Linked DNA regions of Alligator mississippiensis. The protein of the gene in region 2 interacts with the protein of the main gene of each other region in a pairwise test. Links are inferred from orthologs where the notes say so. Each region holds a gene or a part of one and is shown on either strand. Other genes may lie near its edges.

Region 1 (8,471 bases), on a different chromosome or scaffold from region 2:
CTAGGGAATGTGCCTAATATTTACCAAATAATTACCATTTGATGATGTTAAATAAGCAGATATTCCATGCTTATTACATTTTCAGAGTGACAAGCGTGCTATAATCAAGAAACTCATTTGTTCCAGTTTAACAGGTCAGCCTATAACAAACAACCCTCTTCAGAAGACAGGCCAAGGACTGATGGGTCATTTCAGAGCTGGCACAAGGGACACCAGAAGAGCAGCATAGCAGAAACTTGCAATGGGCACTGTCCATGGTAGAATGACAGCCCAAGAACCGTCTCCACAGTGTCTTACAGAAGTACTACATTTTCTATCAGCACTTACTTAGGTCAGAGCTGTGAAGTGGCAGCTTTTCTACAGCACTGCAGCTGTGTTTAGGATAATGGTCTGGGACTCTGCCATATTTTGTATATAAAATAATGTTATATCACATAGTTATGATATGCTTGACTTCAGCATCTTAATTTTGGTGCTCCTCTTTGTCTGCTTTATCCTTGCATTTAGCTCCTTTTTCTTTGTTATCAGTTCAAAAGGACAGCACAGACTCACGAGCATTTAAATAGGGAGATTGTTTTAATAGGTATAGATTTAAATTGGCAGAAGTGAAAAGATTCTAGTTCTCATGGTCTGTTTTCATGGCCTATTGACTGGTATCTGGCCAAATGATTTAACTGGTCTATTCTTTCTTGCTAGAATGTCTTTGTCTTATTAGATTCATTCAACATTTCTTTACAGATAGAACAATTGACACTACACATTTACATATAATTCAGAGAATGCCATATATGCAGTAAGGCTGTGCAAAGCTTCAGTCACTGATTCAGTTTGGAGGAGATTTGGTCCAATTCGGTGGCCAAATCTCCGAATCGAATCAGAAGACCCGTTAATCACTCCGAATCGAATCGGAAGCCTCCGAATCGATTCAGAGACATTCAACAATTTGGCCATAGACACAGCTTTATATGTTTTTTCTACAAACCTCAAGGTATCAGGTGGCTTGTGAACACTGAGATGCTAGGGTAGATGGAGCATCCCACAGAAGCACACAGGGGGTCCCCTGTGCACTCAGCAGCAGACCCAGAAGTGGACCCCGCCCCAGCTCAATGACTGGTACCTCCTGGGTCTGGGGGGCACCCGGGGTCCCCCCACGTTCCTGTGGGACGCTCCATGCGCCCCAGCATTGCAGCATTCATGAGCCACACCTGGTACACCTCAGGGTGTGTAGAAAAACATATAAAACTGTGTCTATGGCTGAATCACTGATTCTCTGAATCAGCATCGAATCTTCAGATTTGGATTCGGCCAAATAATTGAATCAGGACAGAAATCCAAATCAGTTAATCGAATTGCTGTTCCCCAAATCGGGCTGAATCTAAACCTGAATTGAATACAGCCTGCTTCGCACACTCCTAACTTACAGGATCAGCATTTTAACACATGCCATGCACTGTGACCATTTATTGGACCCTGCATAAAGATGGACGGGTTCCACTGAAAGCAGCCAGAATCAGTTAAACTATCCCAAAGAATGTCTGATAGTTGATAAGGCCATGTTGAAAGATTCGTACCTTCCACATCCTCCCATTCATCCTCACTTTCATCATCATTGCTGCCATCATTGTTTTCATCCATCTCTTTTTTAACAGTGGATTCTCTCTTCAAACTCTTCCCGTTCCCAGAGGGGCTTGGTAAACCACTATAAAGGTTGCACAAAAAAAAACTTCAAAGTTGTGGGTTATATCATCTTGTTTGTTTAAAATGTGGAGGGAGGACAATGTCTGTACTAATTAGAGGAACACATGTAATATGACAACGTTATCAATAACAACAGCTGCAAAAGCTTAGAATATACTTAAAACCTAAACCACAAATACCAGCATGGACACAATCTTTGCAAGCAATACATGGATGATAAACACAAAATATTTCACTGGCATTTTTAAGTCTGTTTATGTTGCATTATAAAATGCCTCCAATTTAAAAAAAAAACTATAATTTGGGGGGTCTTAAGTCCTTAACAACTTCCTTCTGAAATTAAAATACACATTAAGCTTGGAAAAGCCTCAAACGCTTTCCACCCCCATTCAGTTCCATACACTTGATCCCATGAACATGCACACAAGTAATTTGGCTCATATGTGAAGCTATGATGAACAGAATGGTACCAAACAGCAGAAGTAAATTTCTCCTATATGAGGTTTGTTGAACTGGGTGTTAAGTAAACATGTTTAGCAATGGACATGTAATAGTTGTATTGATGCAGTCAGTTAACTTACCTGCACATTTCCTCCTCTTTAGGATTTCCTTCATTTTTTATAGCTTTGTTATTTTTCCCCTTTCCTCTTGACTTTGATTCTTTTTGGCTTGTAGCTCTAGTTGCTGGACTGTAAACTCTAGTGTCACCATCTTCTTTCTTCTTCTTCTTTCCACTGAGGGCCTTTGAGACACTCCTCTTCAAAATAGGCTTTTCCTCTTCAAAGTCATCTAAATTGGAACAGAGGGAAAGAAGTGTTATGGAGCAAAATCCTGGCTCTCTTGAAATCAACCATAAAACACCTACTGACGTCAATGGGGCCGAGTTTCTATGGAGCAAAAAATGCAGGCTAAGAGCGAACAAACTGCCTTTAAGGATATCCTTAAAACAAATGGGTAGCATTAAATCAAAAAGCACGTGTGAAATAAAATTATAAGGAAAGTTCAGCTCAGAAGACAAAAGATTTATTCCTGGGTCTTTTCCAATGATGACAAAAAAAAAGCAAATATTCTTGCTTCAGTACTGCATATTGAAGCATCTACTGCATAAAAAAAAATCTCTAGGCAAGTGGAATTTTTGCAAGTTTGATTTAAATAACCCCTTTTCTCAAGAGTCTCCTGAAGCAACAGCAAGCTGCTTTCTTAACCTGCTGCGTCTATGTACTACTATGATGAATTGGATAGATCTTACACGTATGAAATCGATCTGGTTTCATGCAACATAGCAGGCTTACCTACCTTTCAGATTATGGCCTAATGTAGTTGAGATAAAGTTAGACAAGTTTTCACATGTAAGATATTTTTCTCAGGTCTTACATGTGAAAGCTTGCTTATTTTCATCCCAACTCCATAGTTGGTCCAATCAAAGATCTCACCCTATGAAATCCTTGCCTCTTGCATTATTTCTGGATCATCATAGTTACAACATCACTCTTACACTACCATAGAGGGAGAGAGCATTCACTTAGATAGCTCTAGAGCAATCTACACCCCGCTGGCATTCAATATCCCCCCTGGTATCCACGGGCAAATCTAGGATTTTGAAAAGAAGGGTGCAGATGGTGTAGAACATCATATCATAGGATCACAGAAAATTAGGGTTGGAAGGGACCTCAGGAGGTTATCTAGTCCAGTGGTTCTCAACCTTTTTTTGTACAAAGACCCATTTGTAAACATTGATGGCCAGTCCCGACCCAGTGCCCCTCACTCCTGACCGACTGCTTTCTGCCGCCAGCTCCCCAGTGTGTGGGGCAGGAGTGATACATGTGGGGCATATGTGTGGGGCGTGGGGCATGGGGCATAGGGCATATGTGTGGGGCATGGGGGGCTCCAAGCAGCCCGCTGCAGGCGGGAACTCTGACAACCTGCAAGAGAAAAGCCACCGTTTCCCACATTTTATTCCTTTAAAGGAGAATCCATTTTGTTGATCCATTTTTAAAGTTTGTTCAAGACCCTCTCTCATATTCTTGCTACCCACTTTTGGGTCACAACCCATATAGGTAGAGAAACACTGAGCTAGTCCAACCTCCTGCTCACAACAGGACCATCCCCAACTAGATCGTCCCAGTCAGGGCTTTGTCTAGACAGGTGATCTGCCGAGGTCCCTTCCAGCCCTAACGTCCATGAAATCTATGAAAAAATCTCCAAGGATAGAAATTGAAACTAAAACTACACCACTATCCTTCTACTTCTTTTCCTTCCATTATAACAAGGCAGGTTGTTCATTCATTTGTTGCTTCCACCGTTTTACAGACAGATATAACCAAAGTATAATACAAGTAACTGTAATTTGAATCAATAATACAATGAGCAAAGGGCTGTAATAATGTAAATCCTTGGATGAAGATCCGATGGGTCAGGTTATCCCACCGGTTGTCTGCAGTACTTTCTTGGATGCTAGCACTCAGTTCCTGGAGCTGTTTGTTTTTTTGATCCATGAGCATCCCCACAACTTTCCCTTCTTCTTTTAGGAGAGACCAGTCTTTCTCTATTTACCAATTTCTTCCAGCTCCTTCCACAGCCAAATGTGCAAGTTAAGGCCACCCACACGAAAGCGCTGTACTACGGCTTCTGGGTCAATCTGTTGTGCAACGATCCCAGCGCTCGCCCCTAGGAGCCCAGGGCAGGGGGTCGGACTTCGTGATCCGTTCAGATCCCTTCAGACCCTAGAAACTAGGAAACGCTTTATATTTGATGCCTGGGATCCAGGACCTCACCCGTCTGTGTGGAAACGTTACGGCACCACGCTCCCTCTTCACGACCGCTCCGGGTAACCTGTGCCGGTGCTTTTCTACCCTCCTTGCGAAAGCTTTTCCTAATATCCTACCTAAACTTCCCTAAATGCAACTCACATTTTTTTTCCCCCTCCGGTCAAAAAAGAAACTTGACGCTTTATTAATATGCTAAGGGGGGGGGGGGGGCACTATACTATTAGAGCAAAAAACAACTATAACTATTGGAGTGCGCGTGAGTTTTCTAGAGCATATATAAAACTTAAAAAAAAACCCAAAATAGTCAAAGGGTATCGTATCGTCAGTGCTGAGGTCATCAAGAGTGAAAGGCATGTCTGTCACTCAGTTATATAACAAGATCCAGCCGTGTCGGGCTCTGGTGCTTTGCTGTCAGTCATTTCCACACCCGAGTTAACGTCTCACCGCCCCGGCACCGAGCCCGGCTTCACGGTCCGCGATCCCGGGGCCTCCAGCCGGGCCGCCGCCGCCGCACTCACCGTCCGACCCGCGCGGGGGCTTAGGCCTCTTGCTGGCGGCCTCCCGCGCCGGGACCCCGCGGCGCTTTCTCCCCATGCCGCAGCGCCGGCTCCCAGCCCCGCCCACCTGACGTCCCTTCCGGCCCCAGCACCCCGCCCCCCTCCCGTGAGACACCCGCCCCCTTGAGGTGAGCGGTGCCCATTTCACAGCTGCGAACACTGAGGGCTCGCGGGGAGACAGGCCACGCCCTCTCCCCTCGCGCGACGCGTGACGTCATCACGCCCCCAGCCCCGCGGGATGTGGAAGGCGGGTTCGTGGGATCTCGCGAGAGTTCGTTTGAAAGATGGCGGACGAGGTGGACCAGGTGAGGCGCTTTCCCCGAGCCGGCTCGTGTCATCCGTGTCTCGGCCGCGCTGGCGAGGCCTGAGCGCTGGGACGCTAGTGCTGGTGGGGCGGGCGCAGGCTGCCAGGCCCTCGGGGGATTATGCCCCGTTTGCTCAAGTTGCCGCTTCTGGTGGACGCTGGCTTGATCGGGGTGTCTGTGACACAACAGCAGTGTCCTCGCCCTGTCTCTGCCTGCGAGCCCCGGGGATTAGCACACGCAACGTCCAGGGGGTTTCATGCTTGTAATAGGAACCGCCTCGTTTTTTTCTCAGCAACAGACAACCAATACCGTAGAGGAGCCGCTGGATCTCATCAGGCTCAGTCTAGATGAGCGAATCTACGTGAAAATGAGGAACGATCGAGAGCTCAGAGGGAGATTACATGTAAGCGAAGATCACAGAATCGTAAATAAGGGTTGGAAGGGAGCTCAGGAGGTCGCATCTAGTCCAACCCCTGCTCAAAGCAGGACCAGCCTCAGCTAGATCACCCCCGCCAAGGCTTTGTCTAGTCAGGTCTTAAAAACCTCCAAGGCTGGAGCTTCCACAACTCTTGGTGATCTGTTCCTGTGCTTTACTACCCTCCTAGTGAGGGACTTTTTCCTAATATCCAACCTAAATCTCCCTTGCTGCAACTTGAAACCGTCGGGCATTTTTACCCATGCATGTGCCACAGCGCCGGGCGCTTTGAAAAGCACGTGATGCTGCAATGCATGCGGTTGGGTAAGTGGTGAAGTGCGCGTCAGAGCGTGGAAAATGGCGGTGGTCCACTTTTGAACTAAAACACATCAAAGGTGTTTTCATTCAAATGCACGCCGCTGCCATTTCCTCCGTGCTGGTGTGCATTTTGCCATTTATACAACTGCAGATGACGCAGTGCGGTGTGCATCAGCTCGTGTGCAGAGCAGACTCAGTTAATTAAGTCGATTAATCTGCTCTGATGCACTGGATCTGTGGTGCGTGGCAGCATGAAAAAGTATGTGTATAAATGCCCGTTGTTTCTTGTTCTGTCATGTGTCACCACTGAGAACAGTCCAGCTCCATCCTCTGCAGTCCCACCCTTCAGGGAATTGAATGCTGCTATTAAGTCCCCTCTCAGTCTTCTCTTCTCTAGACTAAATAAGCCCAGTTCCCTCAGCCTTTCCTTATAAATCATGCTCTCCGGCCCCCTGTCCATTTTGTTGCCCTCCACTGGACTCTCCGATTTGGCCGTATCCTTTCTGTATTGGGGGCCCAAAACTGAACACAGTACTCCACATGTGGCCTTACCAGTGCTGAATACAGGGGAATAATCACTTCCCTTGATGTGCTGGCAGTGCTCCCACTAATGTTAGCATTCTTTTCAACAAGGGTACGCTGTTGGCTCATATTCAGCCTATTGTCTGCTATAACCCACAGGTCCTTTTTTGCAGAGCTGCTGCTTGTCCAGTCAGCCCCTAGCCTGTCCTGGTGCATAGGATTATTCCATTCTAAGTGCAGGGTTTTGCACTTGTCTTTATTGAACTTCATGAGATTTACTTTGGTCCAATCCTCCAATTTGTCAAGGTCTCTCTGAATCCTAGCCCTACCCTCCGGCATATCTACTACTCCCCGCAGCTTGAGTATGCAGATGACACCAGCTCCATCCCATTATCCAGATCTGTGGAAATACTTGGGATCAGAGGTCAGTTGGGCTGCAAGGAACCTCTTGAGGTTGTCTAGTCCAGCCCCTGCTCAGGGTAGGATTGCCCCTGACTAAACCATCCCAGCCAAGTGCCTTTCCGACTTTCTCTCAAAAACTTCCAAGGACAGAGATTCCACAGCTTCTCTAGGTAGCCTGTTCCAATGCTTGACCACCCTCATAATCGGAAGGTTCCTCCTAATCTCCAACCTAAATTTCCCTTGCCGTAGTTTGAAGTCATTGCACCTAGTCTCTTTCCCCTATAGTTACAGAGAAACCCCATCTCCATCATTTCTATAGTCATGACTTGGGTATTTGAAGGCTGTTATCAAATTCCCCTTGGTCTTCTATTCTGCAGGCTGGTGAAGGCTGGTTCAGTAGGTAGTATTAGAGACAGATGATGCCTTCATTTCTGTTGTAATGGTGAACTTGTCTGTAGTGCTGCATGCAGGTTACCATAAACTAAATTATGATCTTAATTTAGGGGTCGGCGTCTTTTGACATGCATGTTGTAAGTGGCATACGCTGCATCTATGAGGCACAGGAGATCAGGGAGGCAAAAGAGAACACGGTGGCAGATAGGGCAGAAAGTAGAGCAGGCAGAAGAAGGGAATTAGAGTGACGGACTGGGAGGGTGCAGGGCTTACCATTTGGGTTGGTCTAATAAAAGATATCAAATTCACCCAAGGAACCTTGTGGGCTTACCATGTGACACTTCAGCCAAAAAGTTGGCTTCCCACTGATTTAAAGTTGTATGGCAATTTTTGCACCTGGCACGCAGCACAATCATATCTTGTGATTAGAAACATCTGAAAGGTGGCATATTTCCCCCCTTTGCAAAAGAACTTACTCCTGCTTTCCATACCAGATGTTCTAACAATGTGATAATTCAGAGCAGTGATTGTCAACCAGGATAGCACAGTTCCTCAGGCTGCCATGAGATTTTTTTCAGGGAGTGCTGTAAACAAGTGATCCAGTAAAACTGCCCTGCATGTAGTGCACATCCTTCCTGCGTTAGGGTTCTCTAATAACTGTAAAGGAGACAGCAGGGTCAGCTTGTGCTGTAGCCCATCCCAGTTAACCCCAACCTCAATCCCCTGACATGCCAAAAATCAGAGGCATGCATGACAGCTCCACTGTCCCACCTGACTCTTCCTGGGAGATATTGTGCAGTGGCAGACCTAGAATGGCTGCAGCACAATCCAATAGGGCTGCGCAAAGTTTTGGGTACTGATTTGATTCAGAGGAGATTTGGCCCAATTCGGTAGCCAAATCTCCGAATCCAAATCAAATCGGGACCAATTAAAAGGTCCAAATCTATTCGAAGCTCTCTGAATCAATTCAGAAAAGATTCAGAGAGGTTCGGTGATTCAGGCAGTCCGCACCCCCTGCAGCAGGTATCTGGACCTGGACTCCATGCTGGTAAGTAGGGGCTGGGGGAGTGGGGGCTGGACAAGATGGGGGGAC
Region 2 (7,819 bases):
CCCTCGGGGCCTTGGCAGCCAGGTGTGCGCCCCGCCCAGGTGCAGGGGGGCGGTACCTGTCGGTCTCAGGTGTAGGGGGCGGGGCCGCGGGTCACGTGAGCAGGAGGAAGGGCGGGGCCGGACCGAAGGAGCTCGGGGAGGACGACCGACGAACGCGGCGGTGAGTGAATGTGGGGAGGGGGTACGCGTGGGGGCGGGGCGTAGTTGTCACCCCCTATCCGCCAGGCAACCCTTGCCCCGGGGGTGGCTTGGACTCCAGATCCGGGGGCTTTTGGGAAAGGACTGCGTCCTTCAGCCCGTGGTACAGCAGGGGTTAACCCCTCCCCCGTCGGGAACCTAGGAGATCGGGTAGCCTGGAGCCCACTCATTCCGGGAACAGGTGCCTCTTCCCCTCTTCTCCGTGTAGGGAGTAGAAAGACCCCCCACTCCCTGGGACACCCATGGCTGGGCGGGACAGCACGCTAGGGGTTACCTCCCGCGTGGGGCCGCCTCTGCGGTCTTAAAAATTGACCATCAAGATGGGGGGACTGGGCATATCCCAGAATGTCCTGGGCCGAGGGAGTCTTTGGGCGTGCTGCTGCTGCGGCCTCTCTCTGTGCCTCAGTTTCCCCTCTCTCTGCAGCACAGGGAGTAGTGGGGTCTCTGCTCCATGGGTACAGCACCCTGTGCTGCATCCTCCCCCACTGCTATCACTGCTCCTGAGCCCGACCCCTGTCCCTTCCCCAGGTTGGGGACCCCGTGGTCTTCCCCAGAAGCAGCTGCATCTCACTGAAGGCTCGGCTACATATACCACCCTGAGAAGCTGATTAATTGGGGGGGGTCACTATATCCCCCCCCAGTCGGGGGTGATGGCAGAACTGCCCCCGCTGGCCCTGCTGCTAGCAGCAATGCTACAGACCATAGTCCACCCAGCCCTGGGCCAAGGTAAGTGAATGAGCCAAGGGGGATGGGAGCCAGGACACCTGGGTTCTCTTCCCGGCACAGGGAGGGGAGGGGATGAGGGCCAGGGTCTGGAGGGGTCCCTGCAAGTTAGGATGAGATGGCTTCATGCTGTGCAGCTTCCCTGTTCCACACCAGAGCCAGCAGCAGCTTGGGGCCACCCCAGAGGTGCTGGGTTAGGGGGCTGCTCATGGGAGAGGGGGGGAAGAAAACGTACAGTGCCTTGCACCTGGGGCCAGAGAAATGGGCCTGGATGGAGGAGGGACCCCCCACCCCTTTCTCTGTGCTATGTGGCTGCCACTGCCCCACCCCAGAGGTGGCTGCATGTCAGTAGCAGGGCCGGGTAGGGCAATTGGGTGAGGCACAAAGGGGCTCTGCCCAAGCAGGTGGACCCCCTCCATGGACCCCTGTGTAAATACCCAACCCCCACTTCCCAGGCATGGCGGGGTATCAGGATACTCGAGTTCCCTGTGTTCCAGTTGTGAGGGGTGGGGGGGGTCTGCTGGGTTGGAGCAGGGGGACATGAGAGCCAGGCTGCCTGGGTTCTCCACTCTACCACTTTGGGGATATGGTTTGATTACTGGGGGCAGGGGGTGGCATGGTGCAGGAGGCCAGACACCTGGGCTCTCCAGGGAGGTGGGTCCCTCAAGAACTGCAGGATGGTATCAGGCCTGACCAGCCTATCCATTGCTCAAGACCTGGAAGTTTTGGCCATACGTCAGGTGGGTGGGGCAGAGGTGGGGGGGGGGGGGCAGGATGTCTGGGTTCTATGGGGGTGGCAGGGTTGGGGGCACCTGTCCCTTGGGGTGGGGCAGGGTGTGCGCTGCTTGCCTCCAGCTGAGGTGGGGGGGCCTCCTCCACTTCCTGTTCCCCTGGGCGGCTGCCCCACTCCAGAGCTGGTTGCATCTTGAGGGGGTGGATCCAGGCACAGCACTACCTTGCCTGGGGCCGGGGGTGGGGGGTGGTGTTACTCCAGCACATGCCTCTTCATGGCTGTTTATTCCCCCCCCACCCCGGGATTAACCCCTTCCTTCCTTTTGCCTCCCTCCAACCCAGAGGCCAACACGACCAGCAGTAACCGCACAGACGGTCCAGCTGCTTCCTCAGGGCTCACGGTGGGTGAAAAGGGGTATGGGGGGGGAATTAGGGTAGGAGGGGACCGGGCTGGGGACTGGGTGCAGGGAGTGGGGGTGGGCTCTGGGTCCTACCTTAGATGAAACTGGGGGGGTCCAGTACCCCCCACTGATTTTTTCCCCCCCCCCCACTCTGTCCGGGCACAGGCAGGGGAGGTGGCAGCCATCAGTGTGTGCAGCATCTTCGGGGGGCTGCTGCTCCTGGGGCTCCTGGTCTTCGGGGTGCTGAAGCTGCGGGAGAAACGGCAGACAGAGGGCACCTACCGACCTAGCAGTGAGGAGCAGGCGGGTGCCCGCGTCGGGCCCAGCCCCCACCTCAAACTGCCCCCTGAGGAGCGACTCATCTGAGATCCTCCCAGACTTCTGCCCCCTCTTGGACTCCTGCCCCCCATCTACGGGGAACCATGCTGGGGCAGGGGACAGTTGCAGCTGCCTTGCTACCCTGCGGTGCTTCCTGGTGGCTGAAGCAATAGGGGGGGGGGGCCCAGACAGCACCCCCTCTGGACTGGTCTTTATTCCTGCATCTGTCTGTCTGTCCTGCAGAAGGGGCTGGTGCTGGATCTGCCCCCATGAGTGTTCCCTGGTGGCTGAGCCCAAGAAGGGGGGTCCCTGACAGCCCCTCACCCCACACTGGTCTCTCCAGTGTCCCTTTGTCTGTCCAGGCTCGGGGTGGGGGTTGGACTTGTGCTCCCTGGTGGCCAAAGCAATAGGTGGGGTCCTGCCCCTTGCCCACTGGACTGGTCTCTACCCCTGCTCCCCTGGGCACAGCCCCCTGTGTCTGTCTTGTGGGGGTAGGGGGTCGGGCTGATGCTGCTCTAATCTGTCCCCCCACTCCCCTCCCCTTCAATGGCTTTGAATGGATGTTTAATAAAATCCTGGGTTTGGTACTGAATTGTCACAGGAGGACTGGGGTGGGGGGATGCTGCTCTTCCAGCCTCAGCTGGCCCCACCTCCATACCCTGTCATGCCTGTTTGCCTATGTGGGAAACGGTGCTTATGTCCCCTTCCAGGCCCGCTCTGAAGGTGCAGGGATGACCCCTCCCCCCCACCCAAGGCTGGTGTGAGGGGGATAATAGCTTCCTGCTGCTGTGTATTGGGGTGGGAGACAAGGCTCAGCTACCCCTGCTTGGGGCAGCAGATCAAAGTGAGCAGGGAGCTTCCTGCCTGCCAGGAGCTGGAGCAGGGGTCCTACCCCCATCCTTTTCTGCTGTCCCAGAGCTGAGAGCCAAGGAGCCCTGTCCCCTATGGCCTGCCCACTTGGGGCCTGCTTGCCAGCAGGGAAGTGAAGAACAGGTGCAGAACCCCCTCCACCCCCAGCTACTGGCCAGTGTCACTGGGGGCTGGGGAAGGGGGGGCACCCTGCTGACCTGGCTTGAGGTGCAGCACCTAGCACGGTCAGGTTCTTCTACCCCTGGAGGCCCCTCAACAGTGGGGCAGCCCCAAAGGTTCCAGCCCAACCCCCAGCACTGCCCCCTGCTTTGTACCTCCTCCCATCAGGGCACCTCCACCATCCCAGGATGCACTGGGACCTATGATGGGGGGTGGGTTTGGTGTTAGGGGGCCAAGATCCTACAGCCATGGGGGGGGGCAGTGCTCAAGGCTGGGGAGCCCTGGTGATTTCCCCACCCCAGGCCCCTAGCCATGCACCTGCCACTGCTGCTCTCCCTTAAGGCCCAGGCAGCTGAGCTCAGTACCCAGTTACCTTATCCAAGGATAGTGATCTCTGCCTGCCCCTAAACCTGGGCAAATGGTGCCTTCCCCTCAACCCAGTGGAATTCAGCTCCAGGTGGTAATGGAAACCGCCGGGACAGGGGCCAACTCTCTTCCCTGCCCTCGGCCCACCCCAGAGGTGGCTGCATCTCAGCACTGAGGTTCCCCCCAGGGCTGGGACCTCACAACCCCTCCCCGTCCCCCTTGTGTCTAAACCCCAGCAGCAGTCTAACCTCCAACACACACCAGTGCACACCCATCCCGGACTCCTGGATTCCCTCCGGGGATCGGGGAGGGGAGTAGAGCGCGGAGCCTGGGAGGGAGAGAGCCGGAGTCACGGAGGAGTCCTCGGCGGCGCCCCGTGCATCAGTTTCCCCCCACTTTGGCGGAGCAGCGAGCAGAGCTCCGGACAGGGCGGTGGGCAGAAGCTTAGGAGCTCGCTCGCCCACCCTTCCCCTCCCCGCCGCCTCCCGTCCTGGGGTGGGAATAGGGGTCCCCTCGCTCCCACAAGCGGATGCGGCACTTCAGCCTGGTCCGGGCCCGGGTCCGAGTCGAACGTTGGCGCTGCCGCTTCCATCAGGGGGTGGGGCGGAGGGGGCGGGGCCTGGGGAGGGCGGGACTGGACTCTTATTCTGACAGCGCCGCGCGCTCTGCTTAGTCACGGTGACTCCCCCCGCCCCCCCGCTGCAGCCGGACCCGGCAGCGCAGCCATGGCCGGGTGAGTGACCCCCGTCCCCCTCCCTGGCTGGGGGGCCGGACCCCGTGGGGGGAGCGGGACTCTGCGGGAGGAGGGCGGATCCCCCCCTCCCCGAGCCAGACAATGGGGCAGTGAGTGGGGGTCGCCCCTCGGGTGCAACACGTTATCGCGCCCTGCTCGCCGGAGTGGGGGTCCGGCCCGGCCCCGCCCCCGCCCGGACGCTTGGGTTCCGTCCGCCGTGGTGGGAGGAGAGCAGGGCCTGAGGCGGGGAGCTGGGAGCCCGGATGCCTGGGTTCTCCGCTGGTTTGGGGAGGGGAGTGCGGGGACACTGGGCCCCATGTTTTCGCCCTCTTGCGAGCGTGCCTCAGTTTCCCTACGCCAGCCCGTACCGGCCCAGGGCTCTGGGGAGGAGACGGGGATAGGCGCCACCCTCGGCAGGGCGGCTGTGTCACGGGCCCGGTACTGCTCCTGCCTGCTAGCGAGTCCCCTTGGTTCCAGCATGGTGGAACGGGGACCAGGGCGCCTAGCCCAAGCCTGGAGGCAGGGGGGGAGGGGGTTTGGGGAGCCAAGGCCCTGGGTGCAGCCCCTGACACCGGGGGGGGGGAAACAGTCCCAGTGAAGGGCTTGTGGTGCTCAGCCCAGGGGGAACCACTGGCATGGGGAGTCTGCCCAGTGCCTGGGGCTATGGGACAGCCCTGTCTTTTGAAGGTGGTTGGGGGGCTGCTACCATAATGCACCTAACTGCTGGGCCTGCACTCCCAGTCACCCAGGATGCAGTGTCCCCACAGGTCAAAGCTGTGAGGCCAGCCTGGTGATTAAGGGGTGCCAGACAGGTCCTGTCCTGGTTTCAGGGAGGGGGAGCAGGGTTGTGGTTCCCCTGGTTCTAGGTAGGGGGCAGGTTTAGGGTCCTCCCAGAAACCAACCTGACAGGGTGATCTAGGACCCAGAGTGAGGGGAACATAGGTGTCCAAGCTCCCAGCAACCCCCCTGGGTCCTACTGCTGTTCCTGAACTAGGAATGAGCCCATGCATCCAGGCCCCCACGTCTACTGGCTACTGGGCCCTACCCCCCTCCCAGACATCTGGGTCCCCTATTCCCACTTTGGGCAGTGTGTTGTAGCCCTCACACTCCAGGACCTGGGGTGGGGGAACAGTGGCAGATTTGGGCTTCCCCTGGTTTCAGTGGGAGAGCAGTTTTGAGGTCCCCCTTCTAACCCCCTGCCTCTTCCCCTGCAGGTTTGACGGCACCATCCAGCACCCAAGCTCCACAGTACTGTCCTTAGCTGTGTAGCCAACCTCCGCTGGAGCTGCCAAGATGTATGCACCTGAGTGCCAGGCAGAGGTGACACCATCACCGGCAGGGCCACGCTCCTTTAGCTACACACTGGATGAGCACCCATGCCAAGCACTGGCCATCATGAATGAGCTACGACTGAGCCAGCAGCTCTGCGATGTGACACTGCGTGTGCGTTACCGCGATGCGCCGCCTGCTGATTTCCAGGCCCACAAAGTGGTGCTGGCCTCATCCAGCCCTGTCTTCCGTGCCATGTTCACAGCAGGGCTGCGGGAACAGGGCATGGAGGTGGTGCCCATTGAGGGCATCCACCCACGGGTCATGGAGCGTCTCATTGAGTTCGCCTACACAGCCTCCATTGCTGTGGGTGAGCGCTGTGTGCTGCATGTCATGAATGGTGCCGTCATGTACCAGATTGACAGCGTGGTCCGTGCCTGTGCTGACTTCCTGGCCCAACAGCTAGACCCCAGCAATGCCATTGGCATCGCCAACTTTGCCGAGCAGATTGACTGCAGCGAGCTGCATCAGCGGGCGCGGGAGTACATCTACAGGCACTTCGCGGAGGTCAGGGGGGGCTGAAGAGCAGGGCAAGAGGGTTCCAGGGGGCAGGAGGGGGCTGCCGCGAGTACAACTCCATGCACTCTGGGCAGGTGAGGAGGGGTGGGAGGCAGGGAAGGGGCTCCCAGTAAGTACATCTCTTGGGAGGGGAGGGGAGGGTCATGGCGGGGTTGCCGAGAGTCGACAGCCCTAACACAATAGAAACAGACTCCACTCCATGTCTGGGAGGATCCAGGGTGAGGGGCTGGCTCTGGCCAGACTCCCTCCTTGGTTTGGGGTGGAATGCAGCCTGCTCTGGTCAGTGTCGCACCCCCTGGTGGCTGACCCAGGCAGGGCCGAGCAAGGGGCTGCCTCTTGGGTTCCTGGGAGTCGGTAATGGGGGAATGATGGAGGTAATAGCGGGGGGCTAGTGATGTGCCATGACAAGGGGCAACCAGGTTCATATAGAAAGTAAGGCTGGAGTAGCCTGGAGTCAGGATGGGGGAACGTGGGCACAGGTGGGCCACAGCTGGGGGACGGGAGCACTCAGAGTATCTGCAGAGACAGAAGTATCAAGACAGCAGGAGAGAAGATGCCCTGACTTCCCACTGCCCCTATGGGTATCTCAGGTCCTCTCAGTGCCCCCCTTCTCAGGGCAGTGGGGGCTGGACCTGGGCCTCTGTATACCACATACCTCCAGAACTGGGGGCGGGGCATGCACAGGGCTGGTGTCCCCAGTGTCCTCATCATGCCCCCACTGTCAACAGGTGGCAAAGCAGGAGGAGTTCTTCAACCTATCACACTGTCAGCTGGTGACGCTGATCAGCCGGGATGAGCTGAACGTGCGCTGTGAGTCTGAGGTCTTCCATGCCTGCATTGACTGGGTGCGTTACGACTGCGCCAGTCGGCGCCCCTATGTGCAGGCACTGCTGCGTGCTGTACGCTGCCACGCGCTCAGTCCTGGCTTCCTGCAGCTACAGCTTCGCGAGTGCGAGGTGCTGCAGGGTGACACACGCTGCCAAGACTACCTGGCCCAGATCTTCCAGGACCTGACGCTGCACAAGCCCACACAGCGCCTGCCCAGCCGGACGCCCAAGGTGGGCCAGCTCATCTACGCAGTTGGTGGCTATTACCGCCAGTCCCTTGGATTCCTGGAGGCCTACAACCCCCACGATGGTGCCTGGCTGCGGCTGGCTGACTTGGAGGTGCCCCGCAGTGGGCTGGCCAGCTGTGCTGTGGGGGGGCTGCTGTACGCCGTGGGCGGGCGCAACAACTCCCCTGATGGCAACACAGACTCAGGTGCTCTTGACTGTTACAACCCCATGACTAACCAGTGGTCGCCCTGTGCCCCCATGAGTGTTCCCCGCAACCGCATCGGTGTCGGCGTTATTGACGGCCTCATCTACGCTGTCGGCGGCTCCCACGGCTGTGTCCACCATGACAGCGTTGAGAGGTCAGGGCGGTCCTGGTCCTGGCCCAACTTGAGAGCTGCCAGTGGGTCCTGGGGATG

The links.
Region 1: the proteins of KEAP1 (region 2) and LSM3 interact in binary tests that used the Homo sapiens proteins (3 or more experiments, as listed by UniProt). The two-hybrid records come from large-scale screens. The link is inferred for Alligator mississippiensis from reciprocal best matches to the Homo sapiens genes KEAP1 and LSM3.

What each region holds. Positions count from the first base shown.
Region 1 is NC_081835.1:16,882,178-16,890,648, reverse strand, and holds the start of LSM3 (U6 snRNA-associated Sm-like protein LSm3), read left to right. Parts: upstream 1-5,230; 5' UTR 5,231-5,307; coding exon 5,308-5,328; intron 5,329-5,620; coding exon 5,621-5,731; intron 5,732-8,471. Other genes in the region: XPC (DNA repair protein complementing XP-C cells), read right to left, coding at 1,572-1,699, 2,280-2,487, 4,985-5,060. UniProt on the Homo sapiens protein: Plays a role in pre-mRNA splicing as component of the U4/U6-U5 tri-snRNP complex that is involved in spliceosome assembly, and as component of the precatalytic spliceosome (spliceosome B complex).
Region 2 is NC_081831.1:22,436,042-22,443,860, reverse strand, and holds the start of KEAP1 (kelch-like ECH-associated protein 1), read left to right. Parts: upstream 1-4,390; 5' UTR 4,391-4,500; intron 4,501-5,714; 5' UTR 5,715-5,793; coding exon 5,794-6,336; intron 6,337-7,076; coding exon 7,077-7,762; intron 7,763-7,819. Other genes in the region: CRB3 (protein crumbs homolog 3), read left to right, coding at 849-924, 1,996-2,054, 2,220-2,420. UniProt on the Homo sapiens protein: Substrate-specific adapter of a BCR (BTB-CUL3-RBX1) E3 ubiquitin ligase complex that regulates the response to oxidative stress by targeting NFE2L2/NRF2 for ubiquitination.